3 linked regions of the Schizosaccharomyces pombe genome follow. Changing the gene in region 2 together with the main gene of any one other region gives a genetic interaction. Each region holds a gene or a part of one and is shown on either strand. Other genes may lie near its edges.

Region 1 (3,294 bases), on a different chromosome or scaffold from region 2:
TTACAAAAGCTTTTCAAGTAGATGATTTTACATATGTATTAATGAATATGATTATAAGTTTAGTCAAATTGTTTGTACTTAATTGATTGTTGGTTATTATATATTACATATTTAGATTGTAGATAAACGTTCTTTTCAAAATTAATTCTATCCTTTACTATTCGTTAAAAATTCTATATCGATTAATGGGTTGTTTGTCAGTCGTTGATTTAGTCCTGAATATACATAAGGAAAAGTTAATCCAGGGTGGAGTCGACTCTTTGTATACCAAGTATTACAGTATACCACCACTCGTAAACTAAATTATGGAGTGCTGGCAGGCAAAATATTTGGATTAGTATTTTAAAATAATCTGCATCTGGATTATATAGCAAAAAAAAAGCAGTCAACGCAGCTCTTGTTGTTCGCGGTAACTAGACCGGTGCTATGTTTACAATGAAATTGCGGGTTTTCGATCGTACGTATACACATCTACTAATTGATTTGTATTAGTTAGTGATAAATATTAAGAAAGATTAGAAAAATTAATCAGTAACTTTATGTTTGGCATGTGTACTAGATAAAGTATGGCTTATTATATGTTCATAAACAAAAGCGGGAACCATTAGATATTTGAACGACTTTTACTGGCCTTTACGATGGAGTTTCGGAATTTGCCATAAATACCAAGCAGCTATTGTTCTGTATGGTTTACAAGGTTTAGTTAGTTTTTCAACTTCTTCAGTTTGCGGTTTGCTAGATAATCCAAAGAATTCTTTTGCTTCATTCTTCAGAGTAGAGTCATCCGCAGGCATTATGTCCAGTCGTCCGAGTGTAAAGATAGAGTACATTTCTATGGTCCATCGTTTTACTCCTTTTATCTTACTTAGTGACTCCATGAGTTCTTCTTCCGACATCTTCTCAATTTCCGATTTAGAAGGTATTTGCTTGTTTAATGCAGCCTCTGCAACAATGTGTATCTCTTGAGACTTTAATTTTGAAAAGCCACATTCATGCAAAGTTTCAACGTCTGTTTCCATAATTTGCTTAGGAGTAGGAAACTCGTCATTGTCTGAGCACTGTGTACAAAATTTATTGATAATTGAATTTGTGGCAGCGTCTGAAAGCTTCTGTGATGTTATAGCTCGAATAATTCCTTCGTAGGGTGCGTGCTCTGGATGTGGAGTAAGTGTACAAGGTCCAACTTTTTTGACAAGAGACGACCATTTGTTATCAATTGAAGATAAATGCTTTTCAGCCCTTTTGTAGTCCGAATCTTTTGACATTTTTGTATTACTTTTGAGTGTATGCGCTTGGAATGGGATGTGTTTTTCACGCTTCTGAAGTTTTTTGCCTTTATACTTATTACGTAACTTATAGATTGCTTTGCATCTTTGATATGCTTAAGCCAGTTTTAGATTTTAAATAGGTCTTGGTATATTTTTGTTGATTAAAAAAAGAATAGTTAATCTTATTTAACTAGCAATATTGTGAGTCGATGGTGTTTAATATGCTTGTTATGAATATTATTATAGTTTAATTTTAGAAATAAGGGTTAAGTATTTTGGCAATTGGTAAGTTTGTATATATTTCAAAAAAAAATTGCAATAATACACATATACAGTATGAAGAATTGCTGCTGCTTTTTAGAATGACTATTTACTAATGTATGCAATAAATCGATTCTCGTAATGTTTGAGCAATTTAACTTAGCAATGGATATTTCAACATTATTAGTATTTTGATTATGACAGCTTGTTAATCATTTGATTTTTGTAATATTTTTTAGTTGGAATTCAAAAAGCGCTATATTGAAGCATTCGTAATCTTTAACAGGTTTCCTATTATAGTTCTTTTCTTTGTTGAGGTAGATTAAAGAAACAAATGATACTTTTACTTCGACAGCTTTCTATTTGAAACCTCATTGTTAAATTTTCTGTAATTTGCAATGTTGCCGTGCTATCGAATAGAATGATGAAAAGATATTATGTAATATGATCATGGTTTGTTGCACGGAAATATTGCGGTTAGCTTAGTAAGGAATAACATTATGCTTTGTGTATAAATATGTCCCAACGACTGGCCAATATATTAATTTGAATTGAAAAATTTTAAAAATGACTATTGTTAATGAAGGAGCCGAAAATGTTGGTTATTTTACACCTGCGCAAAAAATACCAGCTGGAGCGGCGATAGGTGTACCGCAAACAAAATTATTTACTCCTCTTAAAATTAGAGGAGTGGAGTTCCATAACAGAATGTTTGTTTCGCCGATGTGCACTTATTCCGCTGACCAAGAAGGGCATTTGACAGATTTTCACCTAGTACATCTTGGAGCGATGGGAATGCGTGGGCCTGGCCTTGTAATGGTAGAAGCGACAGCGGTTTCCCCAGAGGGACGAATTTCACCTAATGATTCAGGATTATGGATGGAGTCGCAAATGAAGCCGTTACGAAGAATTGTTGAATTTGCTCATTCGCAAAATCAAAAAATTGGGATTCAATTGGCGCATGCTGGTAGAAAGGCTAGCACCACTGCTCCTTATCGAGGATACACAGTTGCGACTGAAGCTCAAGGTGGGTGGGAGAATGATGTTTATGGACCAAATGAAGACAGGTGGGACGAAAACCACGCTCAACCTCATAAGTTAACTGAAAAGCAATATGATGAATTAGTGGATAAGTTTGTTGTTGCTGCGAAGCGTGCAGTTGAAATAGGTTTTGATGTAATTGAAATTCATGGCGCTCATGGTTATCTTATATCGTCAACAGTTAGTCCTGCCACTAATGACCGCAATGACAAGTATGGTGGGACATTTGAGAAACGTATTTTGTTTCCTATGGAAGTTGTCCATTCTGTTCGTAAAGCAATTCCAGATAGTATGCCCTTGTTTTATAGAGTAACGGCTACAGATTGGTTGCCCAAAGGACAAGGATGGGAGATAGAAGATACAGTTGCATTAGCAGCGAGGCTTCGCGATGGTGGTGTTGACTTGATAGATGTTAGCTCTGGTGGTAATCACAAGGATCAAAGAATTGAGGTGAAGGATTGCTATCAAGTTCCTTTTGCGGAAAAGATTAAGGATCAAGTGAATGGAATACTACTTGGCGCTGTCGGAATGATCAGGGATGGTCTTACGGCGAATGAAATCCTAGAAAGTGGAAAAGCTGATGTTACTTTTGTCGCAAGGGAGTTCTTAAGGAACCCGTCGTTGGTGCTAGACAGCGCGAACCAGTTGGGTGAAAATGTTGCATGGCCAGTTCAGTATGACTATGCAGTTAAGGGACACAGAAAGTTACGTTGAATGTCAAATT
Region 2 (8,782 bases):
AGATTGAAAGAGGAAAAAATTATTCAAGAAAAAAGTCGGGTTGATAAAATGATCGACGAATATCGTCAAAAACTTTCAGAAAGCACTTAACACTTTTACGTTTAATTATTGGAAATTTACTTATATTTTTAGATTGTTATTAACTTTTTATTATGTTTATGACTTGTTAACTGCTAACTTATATGCATGTTCCACCGCTAACGTCACAATGATGGATCGGTATTATTGTAATAGTTTTGCAATTTAAATACTGTTTGATGACTACATGTTCATATTTTTTGTTTGAAGCACGTTCTTCCTTTCTTTCCTCCCTTTGAAGAGTTGTATCATTATCTTTGTTTCTTTTCTTGTCAAGGGCCCGGTAGTTCCTTCTTTTAATAATTGGATCAAAATATCTTTCTTTCTTTTTATTGATAAAATATGAGCAATCTTTTAGAAGCTGAGTCATCTTGTGACTCTAAATCACTCGGTGTTGATGACTTTACATCTAAAAGGTGTAGAGAAATTGACAAGAAGGCTCTTCTTATTACTATCCTCCTTACATTTTTTGTTTCCCTATGTGTTTTCCTGTCAATTATTCTTCCTCTTATATTTTTAGTTATTATTCCTCACGCTCAGTCAGATCGAAAAATTAAAGACACAAATATGGAAACCACTAATTTAGGCGTAAATATAATTGATGAGATATTTAATTCCACTCAAGTACCTGAATGGGCTAAAAACTCGCTTTTGGACACCAATACTTGGCTTGATACATCTGATTTCAATACAAGTTTTACGAACGAAACGTTCGCTGGATTATATACAATGGGAATATTTGATAAATATGATGATTCCGTTCAGGCAAATCCTAATGTCCCTCCTTTGAACGAGCCTTTTCCGTACGGTCGACTTCCCATTAGAGGTGTAAATCTAGGTGGATGGCTTTCAATGGAACCATTTATTACTCCATCTTTTTTCCAAGTGAAAAATGAAACTGCATACTTAGTAAAAGATGAATTGAGTCTACACGCATATTTGGGGGAAAATGCCACCAGCGTTATTGAGAACCATTACAATACATTTGTCACGAAACAAACATTTTACGAAATTAGGGAAGCAGGTTTGGATCATGTTCGGATTACCTTTCCATATTGGATTCTTTACAGTAATGAAATAACTAATGTCTCGGGTATTGGGTGGAGATATCTACTTAGATCTATCGAATGGGCTCGTGAGCAAGGATTAAGAGTTAATCTTGATTTACACGCCGCACCTGGTAACCAAAACTCTTGGAATCACGGTGGATATTTGAATCAAATGGAGTGGTTGGATGGCACAGTGAAAGGCGAGGAAAATTCTCAATTCACACTAAAAATTCATGAAAGACTTGCTTCTTTTTTCTCTCAGAAACGGTATAGAAATGTCGTTACAATATACGGTGCACTTAACGAACCAAATTTCTTCGTTCTTGATGAGCACAAAATTACTGATTGGCATAAGCAAGCCTATGCGGTAATTCGCCAATCTAATTTTACAGGTCTAATATCACTTAGTGATGGATTTCGTGGTCCAGGTAATTGGGAAGATCATTTTGATCCATTTCACTTCCCAAACATACTTATCGATGTACATAGGTATATCATTTTTAATGATTTCTTAATTGGTTTGAGGCCAAAAGATAAACTTAATGTGATATGTAAGTCATGGAACGAAGAAATGAAGTTAAAGGCCAAATTACCGACGATTATAGGAGAGTGGAGCCTTGCGGATACAGATTGTGCTAAGTTTTTAAATAATGTTGGAGAGGGTGCTCGATGGGACGGCACTTTTACTCCTAATGGAGGTGTTGCCAGTTGTTCTGAAAAAGTTGGTTGTCGTTGCGACTTCGCAAATCAGGACCCCGAAAATTACGAGGATTCTTATCGAAAGTTTCTATATGCTTTAGCTACTTCACAAATTGAAACATTTGACAAAACATGGGGCTGGTTTTATTGGAACTGGGACACCGAAAATGCCACTCAATGGAGTTACAAAAAATCATGGCTGGCAGGTTTGTTGCCTCGCTTGGCTTACTCTACAACGAAGGATTTCAATTGCAGCATGCTTGATTCTAAATCTTTCATGGAGTTTGACGAGCAATCTGAATTTTGATGGTAATTAGAAAATGCAAGCATTGTTCTTTGGATAATATCAATCTTTTATTTTAATTTATGTCAATATAAAGGTACTTATTAAAGACCCCTGAATTCTATAGAATTTTAAAGTCATGATCGCTCATCTTTATTTGTGTACTAATATATATATACAAAGAAATATATGATAACAATTCAAACTTCGTATTACAATAAAAAATAAATAACAACCTTGATGTAGATAACACTAAGAATGTGTAGCCAGGTACTTTGTAAAATGATTCCATCATTGAGCTCGTAGATTAGGAAAATCGAATTTATCAATTAACCGTATTCTTCGAATACACGCTGACGAATCCGAAGGCCTGTAATCAGTCGCTTCCATAATAAAAGACAAGTCTTTCTTACATTCCTTGCCTCTGCTTCTTTTTCTTCCTGGTCTATCTCCTCTGCAATGAGATCGATAGCCTCTTCATAACGCTTAGAAACAACAACTCCCTCTAATTTAGGCTTTGAGTACTTCCGTTGAAAATCAAATCCAACAACTGCTTTTGCATAGTCAATCTCTAAAAATTTAGCTGCTGCCAAAGCACAACGTTTTCTACAATGATATGCTCCATATGGCAACATTGAAGGGACATATAAATCGATGTTTCCGTATGCATTTTTAGGAACAATGTTCGCAACAACCGGTTTCGGAGTGTACAACTGCGTAGCTTCTTCATCATACAAGGGTAATACTTTATCTCCATTCTTAACATGTTTTAAAGGCTGAGCTCCTGGCTTTATGATACGACCCTTACGATACCAATGTTCAGCAGAGAAGCCGTTGCTAACATATTTGCGTGGATACACTAATTCGACCCCATTTTTTGTGTTGATTCTTCCACAGGATTTACCAGTTTTAATAGCCTGGTTCTTTTTTAAATGCCTCTCCAAAACAAAAAGCGGGTGATCTTTCAAATCTTGAATATTCCTCGGAATTCCTTCTGATTGTTCAAGCCTTAGTAATTCCGCATCCTCTATAGCATCCATGTCATTATAAAAATCCCTTGGTTTTCCAATTTTAGAAAATATTCTATTCATCCAAGCCTTTCCAAAGGGAAAAATCTCGACTCTATTCTTTAATATTTTATAATAATGTAAACAATATTTTCGGGTAACATCTTTTACATACCCATTAGCCTCAATAGCAAATACATAAGTCATTTGATTTAGATGGTCACTGGAAGCCGGTTCAAACCTTCTGTACTTGCCAATGACACTAGCATCACCAAATGGATCAACACAAACCCATTTTTGCATAGCTTTATTAAAAGCCTCTACCCAAAAAACCGGTTTGGGAGAATCAATTACCTTTAGTTTTGTATCTTCTGTAACAATATCTGAGGCATCAAGATGTGAAAGATTTGAAAAAGAAGGCTGTATGATTTTCCTACGTTTGCGAAATCTAGAAGTAATGTGTGCACTTTCAGAGATATCGCTAGATGAATCATTTTCCATTTGCTGAGACCATGCCGGAACAATTTCATGACTACTTGCTTCATTTATGGCACCTTTAAATCGAAAAGATAAAACTTGTAGTGAAAAAACTAGTCTAGTTGGAACGTTTAAATTACGAAGAATAGATGCAAATAACTGGGTTCCATAATCTCTACTACCGGAAAGCAATTTTGAGTTTTTACAAAACTCCTCAAGGGATAAAGATTCAGAGATGAGGCTATTGTTTTGTAGTAAACCATAATTCGGTTTTCTTAATCCATTGGTAGTGATTTTATATTTCCGTTTCCAAACTTCGACGAGTCCAGCCAACCCGTGTAGGAAAGTTTTGTTCCGAATCATTTGTGACTTTTGAGAAGAGGGATGAAGCGAGACACGTATACCAGGAGGAATATATTTCACAAGATAATTTAGTCTATTGTCATCGCACCAAGTGTTTCGTGTGCAAAGATGATAAGTCAAACAGAGTAAGTGTAACTGATGAATTTGAAGACGAATCTTTCTATCAACGGAAGTGATCTTTAAGCGGCTACGTTTTTCAACCGTTCGATCAACGGTGGCCTCAACGTCTCCAAAATCATGAGTTGGTCGTTCTTGAATCAACCTTTCACCATGTACGGCGGATGAAAGGAGCGAAGAATTTAAAATAGGTGCAGTTTTAATATCATTATTAGGGAGACCAAGATCTAAATCTAACCATTCTTCATCATCACTATAGGTATTATCTTCGTCACTCATCATAGCATTTATATTTGATAGAAGCCAACTTTTTTCAGTATTAAGACTCGTTGCGCCCTTATTCTATTATATTATTTTAAAAAATGAAACATAAAAAACCAATGAAACGTTTTTGAGATGCGTAACTCTTTAAAAACACTAGGGAGCACGAGTTTATAAAGATACTTCAATTAAGTAGAATATAAGAAAATGTTTTGACCATTAATAATGCACGTAACACATGAGAAAAAGATTTGTATTTATTGATACGAAAAGTAGTTCATAACGTTAAGAAAAACAAATTCCTTTTCTATTAAAATCATAGCTAACGTTGAATTTGTTTATATACAGCGTTGTAGTGAAACCAAAAATCGCCGTTAGAGTACATTATATTTTAAGTTAGAAGTTTGCGTTGCATTTTGGTAAACGGCATATCTTTGAGGTAGCGATATGGCTACTTTGCAACTTCAATCTTTAGCATTGCACAGGCTATTCGAATTTCAAATTGCCTTTTTCAAGGGTTTACTATCTCTATCCTATATAAATTTCGTTAAATTTCTTTTTATCAAGAATTGAGGCTCGTTTATCCGGTCATAACTTTTGGTAGCTTTAAAAGGTCTCTTTGTTTAGGATAGAATAGAATTTGCTACCGTTCTCTCACGAGAGCTTAAAGATGGTAGGCACTTCTTCTTTAGATATTTCAATGAGCGGTAGCTCAAGTTCGGACGCAGAACAATGGGAGAAACAGACAAAAAGTGTCCATATCGATAATTCGTAAGTAACTGAAATAGTTGCTTCGCTGAACGTTACTGATGGTTACTAATCATTGCTTGTACAGAGACGTGAATTCGCTGATTTTAGATTATTTGGTGATTCAAGGTGACGAAGAAGCCGCAAAAACATTTGCTGAAGAAGCTCAAATTACGGATTATTATATTCCTCCATATGTAAAAGAACGTTTAGAGATTTGCGAGTTAATTAAATCAGGTTCAATTAACTCTGCAATATGCAAACTGAATGAATTGGAGCCAGAGGTATGCTGAAAGCAAGTAAGGATTACGAGTTAACAGCTACATAGATTTTGGACACAAATTCAGAACTTCTGTTTGAATTATTACGATTGAGATTGCTTGAATTGATACGAGAAGTTGTTGAAGAGAAAGATACCTCTGATTTAGCGGTAGAAAGATGTTTAAACTTTGCACATGAAAATTTAGCACCTTTAGCACCCTCAAATCAAAAGTTTTTGAATTCTTTAGAGTTGACAATGTCGCTTTTATGTTTTCCTCCTTCTTCCTACAGCCCTGCCTTGAAAAATGTTTTGAATTACAGCCAACGTGAGCGTGTTGCAAACCTTGCCAACGTTAGTATATTGAAGTCTCAAGGATTATCAAATGAGTCTAGGTTGTTGTCTTTGGTAAATTTTGAGCGCTGGTGTGAAAAAGAGGCACAAAGGAATTCGATTGAAGTGCAGAAATTTGTGCCCAAAGCATCCATAAAATGATTACTTTTTACGACCTTCCTCAGTTTATGCATTTATGTCTGTTACATCCATTTAACATAAGAACTTTTTTCGTATTGTTCTCACTAATGATAATTAAATTATTGAACTCACAAATGATAATATGACATTCAATTAACAAAGCCAATTTTTGTTGTTAAGCAACATCGTATAGTATCAAGTTACTGACAAGCAAAGCAAACACAACTTTTCCTTTTAAAAGTAAGGAGGGAATTTAATGGGTTATTAAATTAGCAATATTTTTTCTATGGCGAATAATTTGATTTTCTTCATTGGTAATCATAGATAACTGTAGCGAGATGCCTTTCGTTCTCGCAAATTAAGATTGTTTAGGCTAAAAAAAAAGGTTAGAATTGGATATAAACAAAAGTGTTCCAAAACTGAAAACTTACCAAATTTCAAAATTGAGCGTTTGTCGCTTTTCCAAAAAACTAGAAGTTTCCAACAACATATTGATATTAGGGCCTTGTAATGTTTCGGCTTGCAAGGTTTGTAAAAGGAATTCCTTAAATTCTTGGCTAATTAATCCACGAACTCGGTTGACTAAAACATTTGCATTCGGAGTTAGTTGGATGGATTGAATAGATTTACGAAAAAAGTTTGGCTGACCTTGAAAAATTTCAAGAGCAACTAAGCCCAAGCTTTTAACATCCTTCATAAATCCTTCTTTATAATTCTTTTCAATTAACCAGTCAGGAACATGAGATACTGCTCCACGGTTAGTCTGTCTTTCAATGTATGGCGAAGAAAATGCATAATTGCCAATTTTAAGGCAACTGCTTTTCGTGAGATATATGCATTCGGTAGTAAGGTTATGATGAGCTATCCCACTATTATGAAGAAATGCAAGACCAGAACTTATCTCATAACATATGGAAGCTATGTTTAACTCACTAAAAAAATATTTGGGGATTAAAGCTGACAACTTGGTGCTTGGGTCTTTATATTCAAAGACCGACCAAATATTGTTCAGATACCAAAAACTCTCGTTATAACGAATTAAATTTTTGTGAGAGAGACCAGATAATCGCTGCAATTCTTCGAGTAAAAGCCTCCTATGAGTTACAGCTGAAATGTCAAACCGTTTAATTACAACCACTTCTTTATCCAGAGTTTGACGAGCAACGTAGGTTCCAACTGTATCTTGTTGGCATATTTTGGTAAAGTCGGTATAGAAGAACAATGGATCTTTTTGTGTGCAAAGGCAGTCTACTATCTGTAGGTAATACTTTTCTCGTGCAACGAAACGCATTAGATCATCAGAATATGAAACTTTATGCATAGCTGCAGCAGGGATTGAACTACTTGGATGACCGACAGCAGATTGTGAAAGTTTTGGGCTTTGTGGACTAGGCTTGGCAGGACTAATACTAATTGGAGACATAGGAACTGGAGTAGAGACAGATCGAGATAAAGGATACGAAGAAACATCGCCTTGTTGTATTGTCGTTGCGGAATGCCCATCGTCCAGACTTTCAGCAGTAGAAGCACTGCTAAAATGCGAAGCTACTGACACAAACCCATCTATGGATTGTGTATCTACGTTGTGTAGTAATGGAGCATCATAAGCGGAAGGTGAAATGCTATCTCTGTTACCATTTGAGTTTTCCTGTATGGACGACCGATAGTTAGTAGTATTAGGACGAATCGAGATGTTGAAATTATCGGGTACTAAATTTCGGCAATTCATTGAGGAAGTAGAAGATGAAAGTCTGTTGGTTGAAACTTCATCAGGCGTAGTGGGGACTGGGGGAGAACTTAATGCTTGGGAATTAAGAACAGTTGGAAGACTGCTCGGACTATGATTATAGGAGTAAGACTTATATAGATGAATGGGGAGGGAAATAGGAGCTGATTCACTTCTGAGGTGTAAAGATATTGATCGAGAAAGAGTAGAAGATTTTTTAGAATTTCTACGAGATAACGATGGTAGTCCATGTAAACTCCTGCGTCTATACATGTCTTCTTTTGAAGATCGTGATCTATTTAGTCGTTTAGGACTGCCTGAATCATCAGATGAATGCCAGACTTCCGATTGTCCATTCGATTTTTGGTTTTGCAAATGGAAAGGAGGACTACGAGTACTATTACCAGACCCATGAATTAATGAAAGGAAGTGACCACTCAGACGACGAGCATAGTATCCAAACTTCTTTTTTGGTGGTTCTGGGGCAGGTCGCGAAGGCTGCAAGTCAATTATAGAGTCATTAGGAAAAGAAGAAACTAAATGATCCTCAGAAGCTCTACAGGCAGACGAAGACGCATTGCTTTGGCAGGCATTATTGTGAAAGTGGCTTTTTGCGTGATGTTCATGGAATGTAGAATTGGAAAGCATACAAAAAAAAGTAAATCAACAAAGAAGAAAAAAGAGAAAGCGACCATAAAATACAAACTTTTCGAACATGAAAAGCGAGAATGATAAACAGAAGTAGACAATCGAACTAACACCCAAACAAAAAGAACGAATAATTGGAGTGTAATTCGAGGAAATTGTTTGATAAATAAAGCTATTACTTCCCTTTTGTTAATTAAAATACAAAAGCAAGTCCAATTTTTCAACAATCAAGATGGATATACTTTACAATAGCTGTTAGGTTTGTACCAAAACTGATAAGTGTAGTGTTACTCTCAAGGTAACGTCCGTAGGTAACGAAAAATTCCTGAAATTCTTAAGAAGATATAGAAAGAAGGTAAATCAATATTATTGTTGATTAGAAATAAAGGATTTTTGATGTATTCGGGTATTGCTCATAGATGCTTATCTTTGAAAGTTAAAGAGTTCAGAAGATTCGATAAATTTCCCGCTTATTAAATGATCCCAACGGATGCCTGCGCCAGCATCTCCTTGAAGTAATTAAATATCCAACATGGAATATTGAGAACTGTTAGTGATGAACAGCAAAAGTAAGATGAGAGTTCATTTGGTGTC
Region 3 (8,782 bases), on a different chromosome or scaffold from region 2:
TAGTAAAATTGAAGACTAAGTAATTGGAATTTCTAAACTACTACTTACGTTTCTGTCAATTCCTAATTTTCCAACGTAAGAGGCGAATTCGTCAGCTGGAGGAAGCATATGAGGAAGGGGATTTTTGTGATCTTTAGCCTCATCTATATCAAAGTATTGAGCACCTGGAAGACGACTTTCTAAATACTCCTTCTTTCCGTTTTTAGTGTCTGTTGGCAAGTACCAAGTAGCATCCAAGAGAACGGTTTTTTGAGCATTATCCTTTAATTTTTGCAATACGCCCTTAATAGGCAAAATAAAAGAGATTTTTTTACCAACAGAGAACATTGTTTGAAGCAGAGTCTTATTTTGTTTCAGCGAACTACATAGACTTCGAATTTCAAGTAATCTTACGAAAGTACAGCGTTGGTTGCAGCTCCCAAAATTAATTAACGAGTCAAGTTTTTGGTAAAACCAAATATGTGTGTAAAAATGGTTAGATGCGGTTGCATTGCTTATATACAAATATTAATTTATATAAAATGAAAAAGTACTAGTAATAAGTTCGCCAATAAGCACCAAGACATCAAAATTTTTGAACCACTAGTTTTCTAATTAAAAGGTCTTTTCTGACACTGTCAACAAACATGACTCTAGCATTCTAATAACGTTGACAAAAGAACGTAGTAATTTATAGCTACAAAAAGGGTTGCACGGGTTGCACATACCACTAACTAAGCCGCTTTGAGTGTTCATACTTTTCTCAGCCAACTAGAAAGTTATTAACGCTAATTTTAGGTCTCAGGTAAAGCGAATTTGTCAAGTGCTTGCTTACAATAACATTAACACACTTTAACCAAGTACTTTAACAAAAGGGAAAAATGATCAAAGTAATTCCGACAGCCCTATCCTCAACATGGAATTGACATTTCCAATACTTTTCAAGCAAAGTAAACCCACCTAGTAATAAGGATAATTCCCATTCAAAAAATGAAATGATCGCGTGTCTATCAATAAATCCATAAATAAAGCTTAAATCATGAAAAACTTAATGTACAAAATAAAGGGAAATAATAATAAATAAATAAATGGGTACAAGATTGGGTCCGAAATTTTAATGGATACAGCTTACTCTAAGGCGAACTTCTTCTAATTAATTCATCGTCTCTGTTTTAGTCGGGCAAGAAGAGTGCTTGAAGTAATCGGACCTGATGGTTTAGAAGTACCAGGAACATTAGTAGATTGCTGCGGAGGTATAAGTTGACGAGGAGGTCGCCGAAAAGATGAAACTGCACGCAGAGCTTCATTAGCAACACGCGTCGCTTCTTTTTCAACCAATATGCTTTCAGTCTGGGAGGCTTCCATGATATCGTCGTGCTTTAAAGTACTCTGAATACCAGCACTAGCAAAAATATCATCAAGGACGGAATCATCCCCTAAAGTCGAATCAGAGTTTGTCTTAGTAACATTTGACTCTTGCGGTGGTTTATACTTTTCCATCGATGCAATCCCCATTTTTTCAAACACTTTGGAGCTGTTAACTTTTTTACCTTTGTCGTGAATTTTGTGCTTTTTTCGGTCACGAGCTGGAATATCTTCAGCTTCATTGCCATTTCTTGAGGAATTATCCTTTCGAAGTACTCGTTCAGATCCCAAAAACATGCTGCCTGTCTCAGTGCCCTCAGTCTTGTTATCGCCTAACGTAAACAAATCGTGCAAGTCCGTCATTTTAAAAAACCTTCTTTGTTTTGGATCTTTCAAAATTTTGTTAGTCAGAAACTGCTTAAAGATTTGACGATGATAAATTTTTTCTTCAATAGTTCCAGCAGTCATCAACCGATAAACTACTACATCTTTCTTTTGGCCCAGTCTCCAAGCACGTTCACGTGCTTGAGCATCCGTTGAGGGATTCCAATCAGGATCAAAAAGAATTACCCTGTCAGCACCAGTCAAATTGACTCCTAATCCACCAACACGAGTAGTTAGAAGAAACACATCAAAATACTCATTTTTATTAAAGTTGTCCACCAAATCTTGTCTTAAAGCAATAGATGTGCTACCATCCATGCGACAGTAATGAACATCCGGCAAATCCTTTAATCCTATTTCCAGTATGTCGAGCATTTGGCGAGTCTGAGAAAATAGAAGAGTTCTATGTCCTTGTTTTTTCCACAAAGTTAGTAATGCTCTAATAACCTTCAGTTTGCCAGACTTTTCAGGATCACCATAGTTGTAATCTTCTTTATGTAACAAGTACTCTCGAGTTACAAGATCTGGATGATTACAAATTTTTCGTAGTATATCAATTCCATAAAGCATTTGACGCTTTCCGTTCAAGATCTTTTGCATATCAGAGCCTTGCAAAAAATCTTGGTAAGCTTTCCTTTGTAAAGGAGTCAGCTTACAGAACAATACTTGTTCGGACTTCTTAGGTAAATCTGCAGCAACGTCAAGCTTCATTCTTCTAAGTAAATAAGGAGAAATTAAATCTCGAAGCATGCAGGCGCATTTATAAGCGGTTTGCACTTGAACATTTGAAGCATTGGCATAACCACCAATATTAATAGGTAAGGCAAATTGATTTTGAAATACCGGTAATGTACCCAATCTTCCAGGAAATACAAAATCAAATAAATTCCAAAGCTCGGTAAGGTTGTTCTGGATCGGAGTCCCTGAGAGGATAATCCTATTCACAGTACGGATTTGCTTACACGAAATAGATATTTCAGAATCTGGGTTTCGTATTTTGTGCCCTTCATCCAAAACACAATAACCCCATTCCCGTGGTAAAATCAAATCACCATATATCCTTAAACCAGCATATGTTGTAATTAAAATGTGGCCTCTAGTGAAGACACTTTCAACTAAGTTCTTAGCGTATCTGTGGAATGAACTTGAAGCACCTCTTAATTTTATGGAGGTTTTGCTTTCTTCCGCTTCACTTTCAGAAGCGTCAGATTCATACTGTCTCTTTTCGCGTGAAGCACGCTGTCCGCTGCCAGTAGCATGAAGAACAACAACACGTAATGGAGCCCACCATGTATGAAACTCATTAACCCACTGCTTCATTAAAGTCGCTGGACAAACGATAAGTGCAGGCTTTTGAAATTTGCCAGAGTGATGCAAAGACGAAAGGAAAGATACTATTTGAATAGTTTTTCCTAGTCCCATTTCATCACCAATGATTCCTCCGGCCTCTTGACAATAGAGTTCCCATAACCATTGTACGCAAGTGACTTGATAACGGAAAAGATGTGGGCGAATATCACCTGGGATGGTAAATCCACCCTCAAAAGTCTGTCCTTTTTTGGAAGGATGAGGTAGTAACCACTCATCTTTACCTTCAAACTCTCCTCTATCTTTATTGTTTTCAGATGCTGAGGCCTGATCTCGTAATTCCTTACGATTCGCACACCAAGCATTAAGCCTTTGTCGATATACCAAATCATCTCCATCATCTATAGCGGCAGTTACTACTTTCTCCGTAACAGCATCCACAGTTACGTACTCATCTTTTTCGTCTCTTGGAATAATCCCATGATCAATATTTGACGGCTCCGAACTCAAATGAGGTGCCGTTTCATAGTATGTTCCTTCAGACTTTATAACAGCCTCACGAATGCTAGATTCATCATCAAAATCAACTTCTTTTTGTAGTCCAGAGAGATTTCGAAACGGTGTAACCTTACCAGTACGGATGAGCTCTTGTCTTTCCAATTCTTCAGTCGAAAATGCACCTATACCAGGGGCATTTGCCGAATCTTCGTTATTAAGTCTTCTCTTAATATCATTTTCGTCTGATTGTAAACTTTGAAGAGTGTCTCGGAATTTAGATAATTGTTTGCGGAAGTTCTCCTTGACACTTATTTTTGTAAGTCGACTGTCTATACGCTCATCAAGGCGACGTATTTTTTCTTTTACAGAAGATATTTCTTTCCTGACTTTTTGAAGTCTCTTCTTTTCGATCTCTCGACTTTCATGTGCAATGTACTCACTAGCAGTATTCGTAACATCGCGTTCCAAATTCTCTTGGTCAACCGAAAAAACCCCTAAATGGGATAGATCTTCATTGACACTCATATCCTATCAATTTCTTAAATAAAGTCTCATTTTCAGACTCACTGCAAATTTAAGAAAATACTTTGTTGTTTGGTTAAGGGCAAAATTACATATTCCTTCATGCTGCTCCTGTTATAGCGAGAAGCAATGAACCACACAAAGCAATAACGAATAAATCCTTATTTCTAAATGACATTGTCAATGCTAGATAAACTCACGTTTCTGCGCGCGGATTGTATATTCGCAGACTTTTAAAGTAATGGAGGTGCAAAAGGGTTTAATTGAAGCTTTTTATAATACATATCCATTAGAAAAGGCAAAAGAACTGGATAAGAGTCCACTTTGTTCTGAATATGAATTATTCATCAAAGAATTATGGCCTTCGATTGTTGAGAGTTTTCATAACTCAACTGAGTTTGAAACGGCAATAAGATTTTGCTGTTATGAAACAGCAGTATGTGCTTTTTCCATAATGAAGTTTTCCTTAAGTTACTAATTGTTATTTTCGTGTAGCGCAAAAGTGAGATTGGATTGGAGGAGCGATTAAAATGTTTATTTGCGATTTTGGATCTCTTAGTAATAGGGAACGAAATTAACGAAAGCTTCTGTGATCACCTGTTGCCTTTTCTAATCTTGGAAGAGCTGATGGACATTCACACCGTCAACGAATGCGCCAAATTATATGAATATTTTGAAACCAGACCTAGCTTGATGAAAGGTATTGTCAGCAATCGTGGAAGAGGACCCGTTTTGCTTCGGATATCAAATGAATTACTCCGGCGTCTTTCTCGGCAAGAAAATTCATCTTTTTGTGGGCGGATCGATATTCTGCTAAGTAAGGCTTTCCCCCCTGAAGAACGGAGTGGAGCCAATTTACGTGGAGATTATAATACTGTTCATTCTTTTGGGAAGGTAGAACTGTCACCACCATCCACACCCATTTCGGACCGAACAGACCTCTCATATCACAAAAAACTTAATACCTTATTTACTGCTTATTGGGATTTGCAGTGTATGTGCTCCAACCCTCCTAAATTACTAGCAAGTGATACCTTACCTAAGTTTATAGATGCAGCTGGTTCTGCAATACAGGCATTCGAATCTATATTACAAAATACGTTCTTCAATGGGAAGTCAAACCCTACAATTGATCCAAACTCTAGCTCATTACTTTCTGAAAAATATATAACTTTGGATAAAGGATTTCCTTCTAAATATATATATTCTCGGTCGCTTTTTGAATACCAACTTTCAGATGAAGATTTCCGGTTACAGGCTATTTTACAATTAATTATTATTTTCGACTTTTTGCTTGACCATTCTAAAGAACGAATTGAAAGGAGAACTCTTGAAAAATGGACAAATAAGGCGGTAATTCCCATTGTTATTTTGTCTGACGAAGATGTATGTTCTTTTTTAGACTCGAAAAAAACTGATTTTATTGATTGCTAATATGTAGACCTCAAAGTTAAATGAATTATCCAAAGAAGCATATAGTTTCTTACATACTGCCCGGTGTGGTTCTGTGCAAAGAACCATTAAAGAAATTATACATATTGAGGGTAATTGGAAATTATGGAAAGGGCTTGGCTGCCCTTCCCTTGAAAAACCCCTAGTAGATAAAGCGGCTATTGATGAAGCTGTCGAAGGCTTAAAAAAGCTTACAAACACCCCAGTGAAATTAAGATTTGCTATGGGAAATGCTGCTTTGTCGAGGCTCTGGGAGCAGGCTGGAGAAAATACCCTTGATGATCTCAAAAAGGAGGAAAGGTACCGGATTCCATCACCTGAGAGCTTTTTATCTGGCGTTAAAGCAGACAAGTTTGAAATAGAAGAGGCAGTTAGAGATGATGACAAGCATTTCCATGAACAGTCCTTGGCAACGAAGACATGGCGTGCCTTTCGTTCAGCAATTAATAGCCATCTTCAAAACTTTTCGGATACCGGACTAGGTGATGTTGAATTGCTTTGTAATTCCATTGAGGGCAAACCGACTACATCGAAAATTACACCCTCTATTCCTCCAGCTTTTGATATTCATATTATAGAAGGAGAAGAGTTATTAGAGGAAATGAAAAAGAGGGAGAATGTCAAGCACAATTCTCAAAACTTTGCAAGTCCTATGCAAACAGATGCTGAAGGTGATATTGTCCAAAATGAAGAGGAAAAAGAAAGCGTTGAGGTTGAAGAAGGAAAACATAAAAATGACTTGCCAAAGGTATCACCTAAACCCCCAACTGAGGGTGTGGACAGTGAAGTAAACGGTGAATCTTTGGTTCAGGTTAATAAGGTTCTCAAATCAGAAGATGATAATACATCTGAAGCTTCAAAGGACCCATCTTCACATGTGAAATCTCCCGAAAATATTGAAAAACTAAAACAAAATGATGATCACTTTGAGGTCACAGAAGAAATTACTTCCACCATAAATTCTAAAATATCTGAAAAGCAAGAGAATAATGTTGCTGAAACTATATTGGAAGTAACATCTAGTCCAAAATCTTCTGAAAATAGTCAAAAGCAGTCAGAGATTACTAAAAAGCGAGGACGGGATGAGGAAGATGAACCTTCTGACCTTCATTCAAGCCCTAAAAGGCCAAAAACTGGAGAGGATGGAGAAATTGTATTATAATCATTAAATCAATTACACATATGTGATAAGTGCTTAGTTATGATTGAGTCAGAAAATGTATATATAGTTAATGTTTTGATCTAGCGTGTTTTTGTATGCGCTTATATAAAATAAAATTACATCCTTTTAGTAGAGCTACTGTAAAGATGAATTTCATTGTTTATTGATGGGTAAATTACGCTTATTTACTAAACTGCACACATTTTTTGACAGTTGAATACGTTCACATGTTCAATATGAAAACATTCTAAAGTCAAATTTTTTATTTTTCAACAAATGCAACAATAAAAGCGGGTTATAAGTACAGAACTTTTCCAATATCGATGGATCAGATTTGAAACAGACTTATACAATTTGACAACAACGTTGAATTGTAAAATATGTTTTTGCGTATTTAAACTCCATCCTATCAATTCAATACTAAGTCATAACTTGCTTTACCATACCACATAACACAGAAAAATTGATGCACTATGACAACTGAGACTTCGTAAAATAAATAGCTGAAAACTCTGCAATTGCAGAAAATATTCAAAAAAATTATATCAAATGAGTTAATGATTTGAAACACTGTCTTCGTATTTGAAGAATCCAATTAATTAGTTCCGCATGCATTATATCTTTTTCAATAAAAAGAATTCATCCTAATAACAGCGTACTAAAACTGCCGTAAACAGAATAATTATTTTTTTCACAAAATCACATGATATAGAAACTCATTAAGATAAATTTTTATTTTTTTTGTCTGAGATACTTGGCAAAGGACCATGTCTCTTTTCCCAACATTTCCTGAATTCTTCCATCTAAAAATATCAGAATTAGCTAAATTTTTTAAAGACATATAATTACCTGTTCTGTACATTTCCTCCAATCATGAGTATCCCAATAGCAATCATTCAGTCGAAGGTGCTCTTCTACACATCCACCTTTTTCAAGAGCAGTGTCCCATACATCTTTTTCCTCTTCTTCTCCGTCAGGAGTTTTTTCAATACTATCCATTCAGAAAAAATAAATTGATGCTTTATAATGTAAAAAATATGCAAAACCCAAAGTGTTTTGCTGAGTAAGGTAAAGCAGCAGATATTTGATTATTTAAGGAGAATGACCGAGAGACGACAGAAAAGGTGCAAAGACAAATAAACAAGAAAATACAGAATAAAGCTTGTCAGTATTAGAGAAAATAAGTTAATAGCTACTACAAAGGTTTTAAATGACCAACTGACTTCACCGCGGAATTTGAGATCGGTAACGGGGTTGATTGGGGTCAATGGGTATAGCAACTGCAGGGCTTTTAGTATTTTCATGATCTTCATTTTCAATGTTTTTAATCGTAGATTTTTGGGAGGTTTTATTTCCATGGGATGAACCTCGCATCACAAGGTCTGCCAACTTTGCGTTTCGTACTTCACCCTCAGGTCCTCCAAGAGAACGAGGTTTTCCCCATTGAACTTTCAGTCGAAACCCCTCTATAACAACATTTCCATCGGGAGATGCCGCCGCCGCAATCTCAGCACTAGAACGAGTTTTAAAGTTTACGAATGCGCATTTTGCTCGATGAGAACACACAACTGATTTAAGAGGCCCATATTGTTCAAAATGTTTACGAATTTTATAGTCAGCTAGTTCATCTTCGACGCCAATAAGGAAAAGGGATGCCTAAATGTTAGCACAATACAATGCGCCATCAAGCTTAAATTACTTTTAAGTCGCACTTACGATTTTTTTATCTTTAGGAGGTTCCATATTAATAGACAAGGAAACATTCCCATTAATAATTTTTTTAACCGGAAATAATGGGCGTTCTGCATTTAAAGATGCATCAGATGCTCGAGCCTCCTTTAATATTTGCTTAGACTCAACATCATCTAATTTTCGCTTAGGAGGTCTTGAATGTAATTCTCGTTTTTCTACCTTTTTAACAAGATTTCTTGCAGCGGCGCTTGCTTCCTGGCTATCGTAGGCCGTTTCGCCATTACTTAACAGGCGTTGTTGATTTTGAGCAAAGAATTCGCGATTAATATCGTTAGTGGGACCGCTTTCGACCAGTTTTAGGGCTGCATCCCTCAGGGCAATCTTCATGGAACGTTAGCTGACTATTATAGTTGAATGAAA

The links.
Region 1: mutations in rhp41 (region 2) and mag2 are lethal when combined (synthetic lethality), as found in Schizosaccharomyces pombe (one study listed by BioGRID).
Region 3: mutations in rhp41 (region 2) and rhp26 are lethal when combined (synthetic lethality), as found in Schizosaccharomyces pombe (2 studies listed by BioGRID, with this or other methods).

Annotation. Positions count from the first base shown.
Region 1 is NC_003423.3:2,118,257-2,121,550, reverse strand, and holds mag2 (DNA-3-methyladenine glycosylase Mag2), read right to left. Parts: upstream 1,295-3,294; 5' UTR 1,266-1,294; coding exon 624-1,265; 3' UTR 501-623; downstream 1-500. Other genes in the region: proteasome regulatory subunit Rpt6, read left to right, coding at 1-21; SPOM_SPBC23G7.10C (NADH-dependent flavin oxidoreductase), read left to right, coding at 2,097-3,284. UniProt on the Schizosaccharomyces pombe protein: Alkylbase DNA glycosidase-like protein that shows no DNA glycosylase activity for alkylated bases.
Region 2 is NC_003424.3:4,591,435-4,600,216, forward strand, and holds rhp41 (DNA repair protein Rhp41), read right to left. Parts: upstream 4,662-8,782; 5' UTR 4,356-4,661; coding exon 2,439-4,355; 3' UTR 2,166-2,438; downstream 1-2,165. Other genes in the region: protein Nod1, read left to right, coding at 1-90; glucan glucosidase exg2, read left to right, coding at 421-2,133; gid8 (ubiquitin ligase complex subunit protein), read left to right, coding at 5,005-5,105, 5,170-5,365, 5,410-5,835; tea5 (serine/threonine protein kinase Ppk2), read right to left, coding at 6,133-6,187, 6,246-8,188. UniProt on the Schizosaccharomyces pombe protein: Has a role in the nucleotide excision repair (NER) pathway. Acts in both transcription-coupled repair (TCR) which removes damage from the transcribed strand of active genes and in global genome repair (GGR) which removes damage in untranscribed DNA.
Region 3 is NC_003421.2:1,178,499-1,187,280, forward strand, and holds rhp26 (SNF2 family helicase Rhp26 ), read right to left. Parts: upstream 4,141-8,782; 5' UTR 4,060-4,140; coding exon 1,138-4,059; 3' UTR 434-1,137; downstream 1-433. Other genes in the region: thiosulfate sulfurtransferase Tum1, read right to left, coding at 49-327; THO complex subunit Tho1, read left to right, coding at 4,298-4,492, 4,552-5,442, 5,498-6,670; coa4 (respiratory chain complex assembly protein), read right to left, coding at 7,390-7,473, 7,520-7,669; Prp19 complex subunit, RNA-binding Cwf5, read right to left, coding at 7,895-8,326, 8,387-8,743. UniProt on the Schizosaccharomyces pombe protein: Involved in transcription-coupled repair (TCR).